2 linked regions of the Caenorhabditis elegans genome follow. The protein of the gene in region 1 interacts with the protein of each later gene in a pairwise test. Each region holds a gene or a part of one and is shown on either strand. Other genes may lie near its edges.

Region 1 (4,141 bases):
CTCCTTTTCAGAAGAAATATCAACATTTTATTTTAGATCTCCATCAATGTATCTTCAATGTGCTCCATTGTACGGTAGGTTGGGAAGATGGACTGAAAGATATTGTCCAGATACTTTGATATTTATTGTATCAATTGGAAGATGTGAAAAGGGAGAAGAAACTCGTAAACCATATGATCCAGACAATCGAGTCGTGATTCCAAGACTACCTTCGGAGACTTCATTTGTTGAGTGGAAGGGTAATAGGTTAGTTTTTGATAGAAGTTATTTAAATTTTATAAATAATTGGAAAACTCGTAGCAGCTCATCAAATTGATCCGAGAAACAACAGATAGCAAATTTTTCAAAGCATTTTTTTCGAAAACTGTTTTTCCAACTTCAAATCGATTGCCATGACTTTTTGGATTTTCAGAGTGATTGACCATCAACTCCCAACTCATATATCCCCGCCACGAGTTTATCCGCCTGTCCCGGAAACTCACCAACCTCAAATCTACAGTACTATTGATCAGTTCCCAAAGGATTTGCTTCCAAAGATTCCAGAATTAGCGACAGCTGAAAAAACCTATGCTCAACAATACCAAAATGTACATAATTTAACTTCAAAAATATTTTTTAAATTCTCATCTTGTAGCACATTCATGGAAGTGTGGTTAGTGGAGGACATAATCATCAAGTTGTTCGACCAATTGCTCCAACTCCAACAATTGCTCCAAATTCGAATGTTCCAGTTTCCTATCAAATTTCTCAAAGCCAGAACTCACTATCAACTAATGTACTGAACATTTAACAGATTCTGTATTTACAACTTTATTTTTCAGAGCATAAAATCCGAAATTGATCTTTCCCACATACATCCACTATTTCCACGTGTTCAGCCAGATTTTTTAAGTCGAATGTTGCCATCACTCAATTTTAAAATGCACGATGAAAACTCTGGAGCTCAATCACTTGGAAGTGTAGTCAAGCCTGTGCTTAAAAAGGTAAATATTTTATTAAAAAATTGAGATTCTTATTTCTCCAATTTCAGATCGCTCTGAACCAAACTGAACAGTTCTTGGATCGTTTATTGGCTGATCAAAAAAACGATGAGAAGCTACGAAAAGAAACAATTGATCGGCTAAAGTCATCAAATAGCGATAATATTACGAAAAAAAATTAATTATAATTTTAAAATAATTTATTTGCAGAATTGTATTATTTTAATTTGTAAAAATGAAAACTGCGAGCCTCATGGTGAATTTTCAGAAAATTAATACAATGACAATTAAAAATTAGTGAATTATTTAGAACAATTAAGTATTTGTCGCTCGCAGTTTTTATTTTTGTGAATTTCTGTTCGCTAAAAATCTTTATTTCTTTTTGTCGTCAAATTGGGTGTCGGGTACGCAAATACTGCAAACACCGTCACGCACATTTGCGGATGATGATTTCTCAAAATATTTTTTTAAATGTTTTTCACCGCCATTTTCTTTTTTCTCAAAATTTGCTTTCCTTTTTCATTTTTCCACATTCTACCTAGTTTTCGAAAGTCTTTCTGTTCCCCACTTGTGATAATATGATCTCCATTCGTTTAATCAATAATAAAGTGACAAATTTAAGTGTTTTGTTTAGTATTAAAGTTTTCGGTACTTATTGGTTACGTGTCTAAAGTATTTCAAAGTTTAAATGGAAAATGTGCGTTGTTTAAAAGTTGAGCTGTTTGTTTTCTGAGCTTCGTAATAGGGTAAATTTATTTTGTCTTCATATATCTTGCGCGCAATTGCGTTATACTTCAAAAATATTAGCATGCACCCAAATAGAAGAAATAAAAGTAAGTTGAAACCACATCGTAGGAGGTAACGAAACATTGTAGTTCGATGTATTAGTACAAACGCACGACATATTTTCGTTTCTGTTTTTTTCATGACTATTCGGATGAAAAACGCTTTTGTACTGTTCAGATTCGTAAAGCTGATTAATTAAAACAAAAATATTTCGAAATAGCAGTTTGACGTTTCTTTTTCATGAAAATAATTCTGTTCCGTGGTTACATTTTCTGAAACTATTTTTTTGCAACAACGTTAAATTTTCATTTCTAGGAACATGTCTGCCGCTGCTTTGGAGGAAATCGGTATTGCTCCATTACAGGAGAATACTTCTCTCCGTCCGCCACCACTTCCAGCCACCTGCGTTGATGTATCATCAGACGACTATATCAAGCTTACAACGCTGGAACGTCAACTGGCGCATCTTCAAGTTATGGAGGACTATATCAAGCTGGAGACAAGAAACCTTGAAAAAGAATTGCTTCATGCTCAGGAAGAAGTGAAGCGTATTCAATCTGTGCCACTTGTCATTGGACAATTCCTGGAAGCTGTGGACCAAAACCATGCTATCGTTGGAAGCACCACCGGATCCAACTATTATGTCCGTGTTCTATCGATTTTGGATCGTGAGCTGCTTAAGCCAGGATGTTCGGTGGCCCTTCATAAATATTCAAACGCACTTGTTGATGTTCTTCCACCAGAGGCTGACAGCTCCATTCAAATGCTTCGTCCTGATGAGAAACCTGACATCTCTTATGGAGATATTGGAGGTCTTGATATGCAGAAGCAAGAAGTCAGAGAAGCTGTCGAACTTCCATTGACTCATGGAGAACTTTATCAACAAATCGGAATTGACCCCCCAAGAGGAGTTCTCATGTATGGACCACCAGGATGTGGAAAGACTATGTTGGCGAAGGCTGTTGCTGCAAATACTGCTGCTTCCTTCATTCGCGTTGTTGGATCTGAGTTTGTACAGAAATATCTTGGAGAAGGTAATTATCAAGTTTTAAAACACCATTATTGTAACTTTTAGTCTTTTAGGACCACGAATGGTGCGTGACGTCTTCCGTCTGGCAAAGGAAAACAGCCCATCTATTATTTTTATCGATGAAATTGACGCGATTGCTACGAAACGTTTCGATGCTCAAACCGGAGCAGATCGTGAGGTAAGATTACTTCGAGATTGATAGTTTTTTCTCCGAATTTTAGGTCCCTAGAAAAAAGTTTTGTTAAACAAGTGGTATTTTTCCAGGTTCAACGTATTCTTCTCGAATTGCTCAATCAAATGGACGGTTTTGATCAAAGCACTAATGTGAAAGTTATCATGGCCACTAATCGACAGGATACTCTCGATCCTGCACTTCTTCGTCCAGGTCGTCTCGATCGTAAGATTGAGTTCCCATTGCCAGATCGTCGTCAAAAGCGTCTCGTATTCTCAACCGTCTGCTCTCGTATGAACCTGTCGGATGATGTTGATTTGGAAGACTGGGTTGCTCGTCCAGACAAGATTTCAGGAGCTGATATCAACTCTATCTGTCAAGAAGCTGGTATGCAAGCCGTTCGTGAGAATCGTTACGTTGTGCTTACCAAGGATCTTGAGAAGGCCTACAAGAATGTTGTGAAGAAGGATACCAACGATTTCGAGTTCTACAAGTAAACCACGAGTTACTCTCCGATGACCCTCCAGTTCGTCCTGTGAACCATATTTTTACTATAATTTATTGTATTTACACCGTGTCTCGCATAAACAATTTGCTCTTCACCGAACGTTCAAAATCTTCATACATTCATTCTGGTGAAAAAATCAAGATTAACAGTAGGTGTAAGTATAATAGTAGGTATAAGTTCAAACTAATGTAACATTCCTGTCGATTGGTCCAGAAACTGAGTTCCAAATACTAAAAATGGCTTGATCGTAATTGTTAGCTCCAGATTTTCCAGTTGAAGACATTTGAATAGTTGCTCCCTCAGACTTCTTCAATTTTATTCGGTTAAAAAAACTTGAGAAGCTTCCAATAACGAAATTATATGTAGGAACTATCTGAAATTTTTTATTCATCGTGTTTTCTTAATTTTCATTCATCACTGTTGTCGAAAAAGTTCTGACTCCGAATAAAGAGTCGGGGTCTGAAATTATCAGATTTCCGAAATATCGAAAAAATACCACAGCAGATACATAAATCCCGAATGAAATAATATGAATTAAAATAAGAAATACGGAAAATTTAGTGGATTGATAGACTTCTTCCAGTTGATATTTTACAGCAAGTGAAGAATTTTTCAATTGTAATTTCAATTTAAGATTCATTCGAAGTAATATTAAATCAAATATA
Region 2 (3,864 bases), on another chromosome or scaffold:
AACCAATCTAAGTCCCGAGCACATTACCTAAATGATTGTTAATCCTATTGCATATCTGCGTAGGGCTCGAAAACAAATACAATTAGTATTCCTTCACACTTTTTCTGATTCAGATACAATCTGCTTTATAAATTATTAACACAATCTGAATATTCACAATTTCAGAAAGAAATTCAGACGGACTATGTATATCCACTGGTCTCACCATTACCTTCCAAAATTGTTTGGAATTTTGTCATTCGTGTGTAATCCAATTTTCATTTGCTTGATAGCCACCGAAAAGAAGGCTTCGATCGGGAAGTATCGATATCTTTTGATAGGGTTTGCAATTTTTGATATGGCTTACTCAACTGTAGAGCTAATCGTTCCCGTAGCAATTCATGGTACTGGGGCAGCTTTTGTGATTTACCTAGCTGACGGACCATTTTTTGGGGTGAGTTTGAAAGCTCTACACACCAAATGATTGAACTTCAGACTGGGAAGCTTGGCCAACTAGCTGTCTCAATTCGATGTGGGTGTATTTCTCTTTCATATGGAATCCTTGTCATTCACTTTATCTATCGGTATCTTGTGCTATTTAAGTGAGTTTTATTTTTATTTTTCACGTAAATCCGAAAATTTAAAAATTATAGCACCCGAATAATCGATCGACTTCTCCGGCCGTCCGGGCTATTTGGTCTCTTTGTATTTTTTGTTTTTCACGGAATAGCTTGGAGTTCTGTCTGCGAGATGTGTCTCTATGGAGATCAAGAAGTGTTCGACTACATCTATGACGCTTTTCAAAAAGATTACCATGTGGATTCACATGATTTATCCATGCTAATGGCATTGTTTTTCGTGAGGCTCGAAAAGAGCAAAGAACCAACACTAACCCCTTAAAATTTTAGGATGCAAGTCCCGAGATCAAAAGAAGAAGCTGGATTGGAATTCTGCTGCTGACTGGAATTTCGATATATGCAATTTCTCTATACGTTATTCTTGGATGGAAGATTATGAAAAAGCTGGCGGATAATCCAGGGGTTTCTGCAACGACTCAGAAATTGCATAGACAGTTATTCAAAGCCCTTGCAGTTCAGGTATACATGTTTTTAAAGAGTTCAGAAAAAAATTGTTTAACTAAACATTTTCAGACTTTCATCCCGATCTGCATCAGCTTCTCCCCTTGCATGATGGCCTGGTACGGTCCTGTAATCGGATTGGATCTCGGAATGTGGAACAATTATTTGGGCGTCATTGCACTGTCAGCGTTCCCTGTTCTAGATCCACTTGCTATCATTTTCCTCCTACCCAACTACCGGAACAAGCTTTTTCGCACTGTGAAAATGCCAATCAAATACTTTTATTCTGGAACATCGACTGTCCGACCCAACGTGGATAATTCAGCTCAAGTTTATTGAAAGTTTGAGGAAAAGTGTTGTCCAAGTTGTTATAAAATTTCTTATTTTTTTCCATAAATATTTTTCGCAACGTTCTTTTTTAATCAATGTGAAAGAGTTTTATTTGCATTTCTCGAAATACATGTTTGCTTTATAGATTTTTTCAATAGCCTGCGGACATTTTCAACGTGTCCCTCTTTTCTTACCAAGTTTGCAGACAGCTTACACTTTCTTCGTTTTTTTTTGGTTTTTAAAAACAAATTATTCTCAATTTAGTACTGTAACTTTTTGAACAACTTAGCACTTTTATAACAATGTCGTTAAGTTTGAGTTGGGATGATAGTTCTAGAAAATTATTTTGTCAAGTTTGGAGAATTCTTGTCGATGGGATTATTTTTGATCAATTACAGGAAAAAACCGTATAGAAATTTAAAATCAACACATAAACCTTACTAATTTACAGTTCACAATCGCGTCACACCCCTAACCCGATTATATTTTCGGTTTTTATTGCCGAAAATACAACAACACATGTATGAATTCGTATAGTTGCCCTCTATTATAATATTTTTGCATTTATGTTTTCCCAAATTCTCAAAAGTTTTATTTTTTCAAATTTACCGGAATCATAAAATTTACGTTTTTCTAATTTGGTTTTTCTAATTTATAGACCACTTCGATGACACTCAAGCTCACATACTTTGACATTCGTGGGCTCGCGGAGCCCATTCGGCTCTTGCTCAATGACCAGGAAATCCCATTTGAAGATAACCGTATCAGCCGAGAAGAGTGGGCCGAAATGAAGTCAACCATGGTGATTCATAATTTTTGAAACTATAAAAGTAGAATTTTCCAGATTTTCGCTCAATTGCCGTGTCTTCATATCGGAACTGAAACGATTGTCCAGTCAGCAGCGATTCTTCGTCATCTTGGACGGATTTATGGTGAGCAATCAGAAAATTTACAGTTTTGAAATAAAAAATTCATTCGAATTGATGAAAAAGAAAAAGCCTGTCAAATTGCTTATTAATTGTTTTGATAAATGTTTTGTTTTGAAAAAATCGTTTTTTTTGAGTGAAAATTTTTTTGATTTTCTCAAAATAAAAATTTTCAAAAAAACTTGCAGAATGTATACATCCGAAATCGTATAAAAATTATCTAAAAGTAGTCTTTTGGAGCAATTCTAAACGTCGTCAAATTAGTCAATAAATTGTTTTAAACTTTTGGCTTTATAGTTAGCTCTTCTAGGCTGACTTAATGCGTTTTTGATTACAATTTTTTTTTGATCTCAAAATATCAGTTGGAGAAAATAACGAAAAATATATTAACAATTGTTTTCCCGGCTGTTGAGTTAACATTTTGCAAATCTTATTTAAAATTCAATACAAAAAGAAAAAAAAACAACATCTAAAATTTCTCAGGACTCAATGGCTCCACTGAATCAGAGACCTCATTCATCGATATGTTCTCCGAAGGGCTCCGCGATCTACGCACCAAATATTTCACAATGATCAAGACAGACTACGAAGATGGCAAAGAAGCATACATAACTGAAACTCTTCCCGGGGAGCTACTACGAATTGAGAAGTTGTTCTGCACATTTAACAACGGCGAAAACTTTGTGTCCGGGGACAAGCTGAGCTATGCAGATTATGCTCTATTCGAGCTTCTCGATATTCACCTCATCCTCACACCAACTGCTCTAAATGGCACCCCAGCACTGAAAAGATTTCATGGACGATTTGCAGAGCGGCCCAATATGAGACTGTATTTGAATAAACGGGCCGAACTAAATCCATTCGTCAGTGGAAATGGGAAACAATAAAACTTTCGGATTTTTTTGTGTTAAATTAATTTTGCAATACTAATAAAACTTGTTTCAAATAACTATTGTTTCAAAAAGCAAAACTCAACTGTGAAACCATTTTCAAAAAATGAGCTATCAAAATTTCGAGTACTTAAAAATTAAATTTTTTTAAAGTTTTTTGAATTAACTTATCAAAGTCTATAGGTTTCACGATAACCTACTGCATATAAAACATTGGGTCCTGACACGAAAAACCAATGTAGTAGGAGTAAAACGTTGTTTGAAAATTAATACAGGTGCTGTTTATGAATCAGACCCTGGAGAATACAGATAACACCCACCTCAAGTCTGCTCAATGACGCTATCACACATGGAGGACTTTTTCGACCCTTTTCAGTGTGTTCCTTTGCAAAAACGGAGTTACCATAGCAGACAAATATTCAAGTCACAAAACACATAGTGCCCCAACCCCAAAGGAGTATACTATTTTACGAGAACTCGGCATTTATAAGAAAAACAAGAGGGGAAAACACTTCTACATCTCTTCATCGAGAAGATCCCATTATTTTTCAATACAACTATGATATATATGAACTGGTACCATCAAAATGTTCCCAAAATTTTGGGAGCACTAAGCTTCCTGGTGAACCCAATATTCATATATTTGGTAGTGACCAAAAC

The links.
Region 2: the proteins of rpt-3 (region 1) and gst-23 interact in a two-hybrid assay, tested with the Caenorhabditis elegans proteins (one large-scale study listed by BioGRID).

What each region holds. Positions count from the first base shown.
Region 1 is NC_003281.10:6,487,714-6,491,854, forward strand, and holds rpt-3 (putative 26S proteasome regulatory subunit 6B), read left to right. Parts: upstream 1-2,079; 5' UTR 2,080-2,085; coding exon 2,086-2,800; intron 2,801-2,849; coding exon 2,850-2,974; intron 2,975-3,060; coding exon 3,061-3,465; 3' UTR 3,466-3,569; downstream 3,570-4,141. Other genes in the region: Chitin binding domain containing chtb-2, read left to right, coding at 37-246, 413-587, 635-775, 822-983, 1,031-1,162; srb-11 (Serpentine receptor class beta-11), read right to left, coding at 3,655-3,849, 3,895-4,141. UniProt on the Caenorhabditis elegans protein: The 26S proteasome is involved in the ATP-dependent degradation of ubiquitinated proteins. The regulatory (or ATPase) complex confers ATP dependency and substrate specificity to the 26S complex.
Region 2 is NC_003283.11:3,241,240-3,245,103, forward strand, and holds gst-23 (Glutathione S-transferase), read left to right. Parts: upstream 1-2,044; 5' UTR 2,045-2,055; coding exon 2,056-2,190; intron 2,191-2,232; coding exon 2,233-2,320; intron 2,321-2,797; coding exon 2,798-3,201; 3' UTR 3,202-3,263; downstream 3,264-3,864. Other genes in the region: srj-11 (Serpentine Receptor, class J), read left to right, coding at 185-433, 475-581, 633-837, 888-1,076, 1,131-1,397; srj-7 (Serpentine Receptor, class J), read left to right, coding at 3,764-3,864.